2 linked regions of the Cricetulus griseus genome follow. The protein of the gene in region 1 interacts with the protein of each later gene in a pairwise test. Links are inferred from orthologs where the notes say so. Each region holds a gene or a part of one and is shown on either strand. Other genes may lie near its edges.

Region 1 (5,592 bases):
TAACAAAACATTAGCATGGGAAGTAGTTGTTTTTATGCAGTTAGAATGAGCATTTCAGGAAGACTCATAATGGCCAGAACTAAAAAATTGCTGGGGAATTAGGGGGAAGAAAACTTGCAACAGCCAGAATAGACCATGTGCATTAGAAAGATTCTGCAGCGGACCTCAGCCCTGGTCTCCAGGTTGAACTTATAGATGATTTTAGGCTCTAGTTTTAGCACTCAACTCCCACGGTCAGTCCTTGCTTGGAGCTAGCAAAACACATTAAGTGGAGAAGGGTGACATGTTGATAAAAAATTATTCTGGGGCTGGAGGAATGGCTCAGTGAGTTAGGAGCACTTGCTGTGAAAGCAAGAGGACCTGAGTTCAAGTACTCATCACCCATGGGAAGGCCAGGTATGGTTGCATGTGCCCAGAATCCCAGTGCTGTGATGGAGGTGAATGAGTCCTAGTAGCTCCTAGGCCCTAGCCAGCCAGCTTAGACAAAATAGTGAAATTTCAGGCTCAGTTAGAGTGTCCTGTACTGCCATGCCCTGCATTGCCATGCCTTCCAGATGAGATTGGTCTTCTCAGGAAAATCCCTTCTACAAATTGTTATCACAGAGGTGACTTAGACAGTTGGAGTACAGTTCAAGGATAACAAAGAGAAAAGGACAGGAAACTGTCTATGAGCAGTACCTGTCCCTAGTGCAAGCAGTGCTGGTCAGCTCCAGCCTCAGATGTGACAGACACACAAGGGAGGCTTTCTGATTTCAGAACATAAGAGACTGCTTGTTTAGGGCCCTCACAGGCTAAGAAACGTGTAATGATGGCTACATCTGAGTGGGAAGAGGAGCCAGAAGCCAGCAGGAAGGTGGATGGAGAGAAGAAGCAGTCTCATGGGGAACGGCTGCCTCAGAGCATAAGCAGAAGGGCAGTTTGAAGTAGAGGGTGGAGAGCTCTTAGGCCAGCATAGAGAGGGATGGAATAAAAGGCTTAGTTATTTATGTCAACACTGATATATGTAAGTGTTAAAGCTAGCTGTGGGGGCACAAACTTGTCATCCCAGCACCTGGGAGGATGAACTAGGAATGTAAGGTTACGTGAAACCTTGTCTCAAAAAGAAAAGCTGCTTTAAAGAATGTGCATTCCATGTTGTAAGCGGTGGCTACTGTTGAGGTGGGTTATGTCTATTTCTGAGAAAATACATATTGAATTAATGAATTTACTTTATTACATTTATTTGGTGTGTGTGCATATGCCATGGCGTGCATATAGAGGCCAGAGAACAGCTTGCAGGAGTTAATCCTCTCCAACCAACACTTGAGTCCTAGGGACCCAACTTAGTTTGTCAGATTTGGCAGCCACTGCTTCTACCTGCTGAGCCATCTTGCCTGCCTGAATGAATGCACTTAAAGACTTACACTATTTGGGAACAGGAATGCCTTTGTTTCTTTTCTACTGCTGTGACAGAACACCGAGAACAAGTCAACTCATTAAAAAATGTTTGATTGGGGCTTATGGTTCTAGAGGTCATAGTCTATGACCATCATGATAGGGAGAGTGGCAGCAGGCACAAGGCTGGAGCAGTAGCTGAGAGCTCACATCCTGATCTGGAAGTAGGAGGCAGAGCTAACCTCAAATGAAGCCACACCTCCTAACCCTCCCCAAATAGTTCCATTAATGTGAGCATTCAAATATGTGAGTATGTGGGGCCCATTCTTACTTAATTCCCCACAGGGAATCATCAGTTAGAATGAGAATACTTCATGCCTTTCATAATACTTGATAAAGACAACTGAAAATTTTAATACATAGAATATATGGATGTAGCCAGGTGGTGGTGGCACATGCCTTTAATCCCAGCACTCAGAAGGCAGAGGCAGGCCTCTATGAATTCAAGGCCAACCTGGTCTACAGAGTGAGTTCCAGGACAACCTGGGCTGTTACACAGAAACCCTGTTTCAATATAAATATATAATATATAATATATATATAAATTATATATATGTTAAGCCATGAAAACCATATATATAAGCCATATATATATGTGTGTGTGTGTGTGTGTGTGTGTGTGTGTGTGTGTGTGTGTGTGTTAAGCCATGAAAAATTCAGCTCATGTCTCCCAAATTTCATTTGCCTTTTTCTTGTCTTACAGAAGCCTTGCAGAGGCCAGTGGCATCTGACTTTGAGCCCCAGAGTCTCAGTGAAGCAGCTCGATGGAACTCCAAGGAAAACCTTCTTGCTGGGCCCAGTGAAAATGACCCCAACCTTTTTGTGGCACTATATGATTTTGTGGCCAGTGGAGATAACACTCTCAGCATCACTAAAGGTAACAGGGAAACAGCAAGCAAGGGTCGGGGTGTGTGGTTTGGCTGGCCTGCCCTTTGCTTCCTGAGAGGGCAGAGATGCCTACAAAGCACAGTGCCCACCCTTAGGAGACTCAGGGGCAGCAGTCCTGTGCACATGATTCCCCATGTTCCTATAGAAGAGGACACCTGACGCCTTTAATCCCAGCACTCGGGAGGCAGAGGCAGGCGGATCTCTGTGAGTTCGAGGCCAGCCTGGTCTCCAGAGCGAGTGCCACGATAGGCCCCAAAGCTACACACAGAAACCCTGTCTCAAAAAACCAAAAAAAAAAAAAAAAAAAAAAAAAAAAAAGAAGAAGAGGACACCTGGATCTCAGGCTGAAAGCATGGAGTTTTGTTACTGTTTTTTATCACCAAGTAAAAGCATTTTTCCTTAAAAAGTTTCCTTGCAGTAGCAACAGAACTTTTGATCAAATTTGTATAATCTTAGATGCCAAGGCAGAGTTGTCCTCTGTACACTCATGACTAACAGGAAAATGAGATATGCTAGAGAAAGGTTACAAAGAAGAAAGGCAGTCATCAAAACTGATACATTTATTTGGTTCTTTTCTCTAAGGTGAAAAGCTCCGGGTCTTAGGTTATAATCACAATGGGGAATGGTGTGAAGCCCAAACGAAAAATGGCCAAGGATGGGTACCAAGCAACTACATCACCCCTGTCAACAGTCTGGAGAAACATTCCTGGTATCATGGGCCTGTGTCCCGAAATGCCGCTGAGTATCTGCTGAGCAGTGGGATCAACGGCAGCTTCTTGGTGCGGGAGAGTGAGAGTAGTCCTGGCCAGAGGTCCATCTCCCTGAGATATGAAGGGAGGGTATACCACTACAGGATCAACACCGCCTCTGATGGCAAGGTGGGTAACCACCCTGGACTGGGACCAGCAGTGAGCTGATGGGCTGTGGGGGACATACAGGGGAACATATATGGTAGCCTAGGCCATTGAATTATGTCAGTAGGCTCAATCAGAATGTCTCAAGCAGGCTGAATTACAGGCTTCAAAGTACTGAATTACAAAGTACTTTGAATCAGTACTTCAAAGCTATCCTTGGCTACATAGTAAGTTCAGGGCCAGCCTGGGCCACATAAAGACCTTGTTTCAAACAATCAAACCAGACAGTGTCTCAGGGCCAGCCTGGGCCACATAAAGACCTTGTTTCAAACAATCAAACCAGACAGTGTCTCAGGAATCTTCTAAGTAAACAGAAGACATTTTCATTAGCTTCACAAAAGACCATTGGTTGCCAGCCACTGTCAGCTGATATCACAGGTCCTGGGTCTTGGTGTGTAGGATTCTCTGAAAAACCACAGGAATGCTGTTGGGTCTCAGATGTAAGTTCTTATGTTAAGACTCTTCCTTTTCATAAATTCTTTGTGTTTGTTCTTTGATTTTTTTTGATACAGTCTCTGTATTTTGTAGCCCTGGCCATCCTGGAAGTTACTCTGTAGACCAGACTGGTCTCAAACTCACAGAGATCTGCCTGCCTCTGCCTCCCAAGTGCTGGAATTAAAGGCGTGCGCCAACATAGCTCAGCAGCCCTTTTTGTAAACTTTTATAGTGATGATGATTGATCTTTAGTCAGAGAAATTCAAGCAGTAGTCATTCATTATGTGTAAAGCTACAGGCCCCATAACAGCACCTCCTTGACCTGACAACCAATGTTCTTCCTGTGGTAAAGTGTGGGTGTAGACACATATAAATGCACTCAGATTTTAACAGAAGTCACATCAAAGTACACCAATTGGCCTCCCTGTAAGCACAAAGTGTGTTTTGTAATCTTTGCATAAACATTGCTCCTTAAATGTCCACAAAGAGATGGGAAAAATCCAATTACTGAGGCTTAATCAGTGCTAGTGTCTTGGAGTTCCTCTCTTTAACCCTCACCTCCACCCCTGGAGGCTACTGATGCCATCTGTATTTTTGTATCAGTAAGAGGGGGGCTTAGAGGGACAAGACTTCTAGTTCAAGATTTTCATATAGGGAGTAATTGGTAGCACCAGGCTGGGGCCCCCCTCTTCACAGTGCCAGGTTCTGTTAGAGGACAGCTTTGATAGGCAGATTGCATAGTAAAGATGGCATTCTGTTGCTGTGAAGAGACACCATGACCAAGGCAGCTCTTCCAAAGGAAACCTTTAATTGGTGTCTTGCTTACAGTTTCAGAAGCTTAGTTTACTAGCATCATGGTGGTGATGCTTAGGAGAAGGAAGCTTGGTGGCAGGCAGGCGGGTGCTGGAGAAATAGCTGAGGGCTACATCCTGATCTGTAGGCCAAGTCAGAGAGGCTGGGCCTTGCATGGGCTTTTGAGACCTCGAAGCCCACTCCTAGTGAGGCAGTCCATTCAAAAGAGCCTAATCCTTTCAAATAGTGCCACTCACCACTCCCTGGTGACTAAGCATTCAAACTAATGAGCCTATGGAGACCATTCTTATTCAAGCTACCACAGCATCTAAACTATTTTGGGGGAGCCTGACTCCATGGTATAAAGCCATGCATATGACCTGTGTTCTGTTGTTGTTTGCTGCAGCTTCGGGCGATGAAACAGAACCACACAACTCAACAAACCCACATGGAGTTTATTGGGAAAGAGAGCGGTTTAGAAGGAGGCTCAGTAGTTGGGGCGGTTGAAATTGGAGTCATGGAGCTGGCATTGGCCCAGTTCACCCGGTTTCTGTGTACAGAGTCCTTATGCAGCCACTTAAAGCAAGCACAAATGAGGTAGCCATGCCACACAGGGCCCTTTGAGCTGTCTAAGTATCTGCCTAAAGGCTGGTTGCATACCCTGCCAGTTGTCAAGGGGCAGGGTCAGCATAATGCCAGGATACCAACAGGTTCTATCTGCAGAACTACAGTTAATGCATGTCTTTGTTTTGTTTTGTTTTGTTTTGTTCGTTTTTAGAGACCGGGTTTCTCTGTGTAGCCTTGGCTGTCCTGGGACTCACTGCAGACCAGGCTGGCCTCATACTCATGGAGATCCACCTGCCTCTGCCTCCCAGTACTGGGATTAAAGGCGTGCACCACCACCACTTAGCTGATGCATATACATTTTACACACACACACACACACACACACACACACACACACACACACACACTTAATTTGTTTTTGAGAGAAGATCTTGATATTTAGTTCTGGCTTGCCTGGAATTCACTGTGAAGTCCAGATTAGCCTTAAACTTGTGGCCACACTCCAGCCTTTGCCTCCTGACTGCTGGAATTAAGTGTGCACTACCACACACAGCCTTGTTTC
Region 2 (6,298 bases), on another chromosome or scaffold:
CTCTCTCTCTCTCTCTCTCTCTCTCTCTGTGTGTGTGTGTGTGTGTGTGTGGTGTGGAGGGGCACATGGAAGGAGATACTGAGGCTGGCATCTGTGGATTGGTGAAAGGCATCGTCTGGGAGAGACACCCAGAGGCCTGATTCCAGGGAAACAGGAAGCCGAGCTCAGGCTTCACGGCAGGGGGCGGGTCCTGTCAATGCTTCGACTTCCCCATCCCGGGCCCCTTACCCTCCTCTCGCTGGTGAAGGTTGCCTTGGAGACGGGGTTATCCTGGCCCTAGGATAACACTGGGGCTTATCCTGGGATGGGTGGGGTATCGGCTGGTTCTATGGTGGGAAGAAAGCAAAGGTCAGACAGATGGTCTGAGTGGAGGCCTGGGGGATATCTAAGCAAATAAAAGAAGGCAGAAGAAAAAGTAAATCGTTCCCTGGGAGGCTTGGTAGTATCAAACTTTACTACCTATCTTTTAAAAAATTCTAAAATATGTCTGCCAATATTCCAGCCTTCACGCTCGCTCTACAGTCCGACCATCCTTTTTCTTTTCTACTCACTGTCTGTCCAAAAAAGATGTTTGGAGAAAAACATGCTGCACTTAGAAAGACCTAGAAACAAAACTGGGCTGGAAACAGAGAGAGAGAGAGAGAGAGAGAAGAGAGAGAGAGAGAGAGAGAGAGAGAGAGAGAGAGAGAGAGAGAGATTGGAGGATTGGAGGGCTGGGTGAGCGGTGCTTGTCTTGGTGGAAACCAGCAGTTAGTGGCTTCCTCTTAGCTTCCTCTACCAGGGGCTTTCTCCTCCCTGGGAGGGGGGAGGCTTATTATCTCTCTCCTCAGAAAGGCAGGGTATTATTGGTATTTGGACCTTTGAACATCCCAGAAGTGTGCGTTCCCATCATGCTGACCCTCAAAATCTGCTCAGGGACCCTTCCCCACTGATGAACAAGGTGATTTCAAAGACGCCTTATTTCCCAGACTTCCGTTTTCCCCACTGGTAGGCGACCACCAGGGAGTCTGCCCAACCTCGATCCCACAGGGAGAAGCTTTAGTTGGTCTCAAACAGGTTTGACCGCCTTGCCCCTGCTTGTCTTTACAGCCGCAGCTGCCCTGATCATCAATATTGACTGCGGCGGCCTGGCGGCCTGGATTGCCACCCTCCAGTTACCCTGCCTAAATTTCAGGCCGCCCTCTCCCGGGGCCGCCAGGGGGTGACTCCCGGATTGGAAGCCAGGGCTGCATCAGGAAATTGTTTGCTCCCATCTCATCTCTGTGGCCCTGCTCTTTCTCGTTCACCAGCTCCCTTTCCTCAGCTGGCTTCTCTTCCTGTGCCCAATGCCTGCCTTGTCTTGGTAACCAGTCCCTAATCTCTTCACAGCCCAGATTGGAAGGTGTGTCCCTCCTGCCACTCCTCGGAGCTCTCACCACCCTCCAGGTTTCCATAGCTCCATTGCTCAACAATTTGCCAAGGGTAACCATTAACCCAGCCCTTAGCTCTGCTCCCCACCGTCCCCTGTGGAGAGGATTTTCCAGTCACTGGGCAGCAGAGCCAGGTCACCTCACACCATCTCCCTGGGCCGCAGGCAGGATCTTCTTATTTCAGGATTGCTGAGACAGTTTTTAAATTATGTACTTATAGTGTGTGTGTGTGTAAGGGCACAAACAGCACAGGTGTGGAGGTCAGAGGTCAATTTTGTTAGTTTTTTCCTGCCGTGTGAGTCCTAGGGATGGAATTTAAGGCAATTTTCCCTGACCAGCCAGCCAGACTTAAAGGCTTTATTTATTTATTTGTTTATCGTAAGCTATATTTCTTTCTTTCTCCCTCAGAAACTCCTTCTGTCCCACCCGGCTCTATCATGGACGAGTTATGATACGCGGTGTCCTTTGGTCAGTGGGCTGTGGGTCGGGCATAAACCGATACGCCTGGCGTTGCGTGTCGTCATTATGTCTGCTTTCGGAATGCTGTGTCAATCATCCAGAAACCGCACTTCCTCTTCAGAGGTCCCGAAAGGATCAGGCCCCGTGGTGCTCGTGTGGGGGTGGCCGTGCCCCGCTTTCAGGGACCGGGCATGGCGGGCGCAGAAGTAGGGTTGAAATGACAGGTGGCTGTCACTCCCACTTATTTATCCTAAGACACTCGTGTAGCGCTTACTCTGCTTGCTGGACGCCGCTCTGCAAATATTAGCTGTTAAATTGTATTTAATATAGTTAAATATTTGTAAATATTAACTCGGTGGGTGCAAATATGAACAGAGTGGCTGCCGTTGGCCTGGGCCGGGTTAATGGTGCTTCTCGCCACGCTCCGGGCAGGAGGAAAAATGCTCTGGCCCTTTAAGGTCGGCCTCCCCACCGCCCAGACCCTTTTTCTGGGCTGCGACTTGGGCTCGCACAGCGACCTGCTGGCGGGCGAGCCGGCGAGCGGGCGGGCGGGCGCCGCCCTGCCTCAGTCAAAGCTCGGAAACCCTGGCCTCCCGCTGCTTAGCAACGGCAGAGGGCGGGAATTTTGAACGCGCCGGCCCCGCCCCTCTTGTAAACAGACCAATCAGCGAGTAGACTCCGCCGCGCTTCTCCCGGTACTCCCTCTCTTCCTATTGGATAGCTAGGCAGGCTCCTCCAGCCAATGGCGACTGAGAGGGCGGGGCGAGCGCGCCCCCGCCCCGCCCCCAGACGCTCGCCCTGCCCCCAGCTGGCGGCCGTTGGCCAGTGAGGTGGAGTGTGGCCTCTGAGGTGACGGAAAAGGCGGGAAAGCGCCGCGAGGTGGCGGCGCTGGGTGGGGCGGGGACGGAAGAGCGCGGCCGTGGCTGCCGGGGCGTGGGTGGCAGGAACAGATTTGACGAGTGACAGAAATGAGGGTGGGACGGTCGCACGGGGTTGTTTGCAGCCTAAAGAAGTCGCCCTCGAAGGAGAAGCCTCCCTCGGGGAGCCGCGACGGGCGCTTCACCCCGCCCAGCCACCCGGTGAAATGTGGCTTCTCCTCCCACGTCCTCAGAGTCGCCGAGCCCATGGCTTTCAGAGCCACCCCGGGCAGGACGCCGCGGGGACCCGGCTTCCCCGGCCCACAGGCCCCGGTGCCCCGGCCTGGAACTATTGAGGAGGAGGACGAGGACGAGGAGGAGGAGGAGCCGGCTGAGGTGTGGGAGGGAGGAGCGAGCGGGCCGGGAGGACTGCGGAGGGCGGGGCCCAACCTGTGTCTCGGTGGTTGACTAGGTGCCCGGTGCCTGTCTCGGAGGAGGGTTCAGATACTGATCTCGTGTCCTTCCTCATGGGGCAGATCCACCTGTGCGTGCTGTGGAGTTCGGGACATCTGGGCATTGCTTACTATGACACTAGCGACTCCACTGTCCACTTCATGCCAGATGCCCCAGACCACCAGAGCCTGAAGCTTCTCCAGAGAGGTGGGACACGACCCTTGATTCCTGACTCTGGGCTTGGAATTGTGTCACGCATACGTCCTTACGTGACTGAATCTACTTTATAGTCACCTGTTCCGGGGAATTAATTATCCAACACAACTGTATTGTACTTACTTGCTCTATATTAAACGCTGCAGATTTGGTCCCTGGCAAACCACTCATGACTTTAATCTAGTGGTATTTTCCAGAACGCCCCTCTTCCCCTCCCCCCGCCCCTGCAATATTACTACTTTACTAAATCTCATTCCAGACTGTGCTCCCAGTCTGTGCAGAGCACTCCCCAAACAGACAGAAAATAAATTCTCTTATTTTGGTTTTGGTTTTTTGAGACAGCTCTGTCTGTCCTGGAACCTGCCATGTAGGCCCCGCTGACCTCCAACTCAGAGACTGGCCTGTCTCCCTAGTGCTAGAATGAGAGGCATGCACCACCATGCCTGGCTGAGAAAATAATTCTTTAGGGGAACAGTGGCAAGAAGAGAGCTGCCGCTTACCTCTTTGTCCATGTGTAGAGCTCCTTTGACTCTTTGGTCCCTTCTCTTTTCAAGTTCTGGATGAAGTCAACCCCCAGTCTGTCATTACAAGTGCCAAACAGGATGAGGCCATGACTCGGTTCCTGAGGAAGCTTGGTAAGGATGGCCTGAAGAAGGGAAAATGGAAAGAGGCTACTGAAGTGTGGCGTTCCGAGATGCAGGAAGGGACAACAGGACTGAAGTGTACAAAACCATGGTCCTTTGCTTCCACAGCCTCCCAGGAGCACAGACAGCCAAAGAAACCTGAGATCATACTTCTGCCCAGCGTGGATTTCGGTAACTACTTCACACTGCCTGACCCCATCCCTGTCTCTTCCCTTCATTTCACCCCATTATCAGAGACCTCCCCATCTGTTCTCATCTGAAGGTGCCTCCCGTGCCCCAAGGTCTCTCCTGCACCCAATCATTAATAATCTAACTAATTGAGAAGCCATTGGGTTAGTTACCTTAGGATGCCCCCACCCCTGCTGAGAAAATGGAGTGATGATGCCTCTCAAACAGCTTTGAATGTTGGAGTTCCCCTTTAAGCCAAAGTGTTTTATTGCATCAAAAGGAAGGGCACTGTTTCTGGGATCCAGATGATCCATAAGACACTTCCTACTTGGCAAACTCCCAGGTTTACAAAAAGGACAGGGGATGTTCTGTCCTCATTAGATATCTGGACATTAGGACTACTCTTTCTTTTATCATAAGATCTTTTTGATCTAGAAAATCTACAATCCCAGACATCATTTGTCTTTCCCAGGTTGTGCTTATAGCCGGACATCTATATTACACAAAGAAGAGAATCAGACTCAGTGTGCACCTGTGGGTTCTTGCGTTAGCTTTCCTTAACCAGCTCTGTGGACTTGGGTTGCTTTTGCTCTTGTTGTGTTGGGGTAAGAAAGTTGATTTATAAGACTTTTTTCCTCTCCTTATTCCCCAAAATAGGTCCAGAGACAAGCAAGCAGCGTCTCCTTTCTGGAAACTACTCATTCATCCCAGAGTCCATGACTGCCACTGAGAAAATCCTTTTCCTCTCCTCCATTATTCCCTTTGACTGTGTCCTCACGGTGAGCCAGGTCACTGGGGTTTGGGCTGGGGAAGGCTGAGCTCACAGTCCCAGTCCCAGGCTGAGTTGGGCTGGACTGCCCCAGCCCTGGAAAATGACAGTCTTTGTTGATATTGGTGTTGTCCAGCTTCTGGAACCCTAGGCTTTATTCCAACTCCACTGCTGACCCCTTCCAGGTCCGGGCACTTGGAGGACTGCTCAAGTTCCTGAGTCGAAGAAGAGTTGGGGTGGAACTGGAGGATTATAATGTCAGCGTCCCGATCCTGGGGTTTAAGAAATTTGTATTGTAGGTGATGTAAAGGGACTGGGAGGTCTCAGGAGTAAGCCAGGAGATTGGACACGCGTGCTGGGACACGGGAGAGGGATGGGGACAGTGGACACGTGTGCTGGGACGAGGGAGAACCAGGGGATTGTATTGCTCTGGGAAGATCAAACAGTACTGAGACAGGAATCAAGGCAGTGGAGCTTGTAGTGAGCCGCCATTCCCCAGCCACCTTCCCTTTGGCTTGTTTTCTGTTCTTAGGACCCATCTGGTGAGCATAGATCAAGACACTTACAGGTGAGGTGCAGATAGACTGCTCTGCCTCCTCCAGAAACACACGGGTTGAGCCTAATGCTCTAATAATCCTAATGAGGCCTAGTCTCTCTAATCCTGGGGCTGCTAAGATCTCTCTCCTTGAAGGGAAGGAAAGCGTGATTGGGGGGGGGGACTACAAAGGCATCACCTCCCTTTCCTTTCCTTTTTGCAATGTTGGGGATGGACCCCAGGGGCTGGTGCCTGCCAGGCAAGCATTCTGCCTCCTGAAGTGACAACTCTAGTCTGCTGGTTTCCTTTCTTTCCTGTTTTTTTTTTTTTTGTGTGTGTGTGTGTGTGTTTGTATTTTGAGACTGGGTCTCTCTACATAGCCCCACTGTTCTGGAACTTACTATATAAACCAGGCTGACTTTCATTTCCTTTTCCTAAGGGGAGAAGCTGAGGCAAATCCAAAAGTGAGTAATAACCCTCACATCAAGATTATTATTGCCAGGGGTGGAGGCGCATGCCTTTAATCCCAGCACTGGGGAGGCAGAGACAGGTGGATCTCTGGGAGTTCAGGGCCAGCCTGGTCTACATAGTGAGTTCCAGGACAGACAGGGCTATACACAGTACAAGAGAAAACCTGTCTCAGTTCCCCACTCCTTTTATTGTTGTTATTTTAAAAAATTAAGGTTAAAGTAGGAACAGGGCTCAGTGAGCAAAAGCTCTTGTTACTCAACTTTGAGGATCTGAGTTTGGATCTGAGTTTTATGTAAGTGCTTGGCATCTCTGGCTGC

What was found.
Region 2: the proteins of Abl1 (region 1) and Msh5 interact in binary tests that used the Homo sapiens proteins (3 or more experiments, as listed by UniProt). The link is inferred for Cricetulus griseus from reciprocal best matches to the Homo sapiens genes ABL1 and MSH5.

Annotation. Positions count from the first base shown.
Region 1 is NC_048599.1:143,503,096-143,508,687, forward strand, and holds part of Abl1 (tyrosine-protein kinase ABL1), read left to right. Parts: intron 1-2,137; coding exon 2,138-2,311; intron 2,312-2,904; coding exon 2,905-3,200; intron 3,201-5,592. UniProt on the Homo sapiens protein: Non-receptor tyrosine-protein kinase that plays a role in many key processes linked to cell growth and survival such as cytoskeleton remodeling in response to extracellular stimuli, cell motility and adhesion, receptor endocytosis, autophagy, DNA damage response and apoptosis.
Region 2 is NW_023276806.1:231,563,036-231,569,333, reverse strand, and holds the start of Msh5 (mutS protein homolog 5), read left to right. Parts: upstream 1-2,750; 5' UTR 2,751-2,836; coding exon 2,837-3,121; intron 3,122-3,261; coding exon 3,262-3,385; intron 3,386-3,948; coding exon 3,949-4,029; intron 4,030-4,146; coding exon 4,147-4,209; intron 4,210-4,863; coding exon 4,864-4,985; intron 4,986-5,160; coding exon 5,161-5,270; intron 5,271-5,507; coding exon 5,508-5,543; intron 5,544-5,949; coding exon 5,950-5,974; intron 5,975-6,298.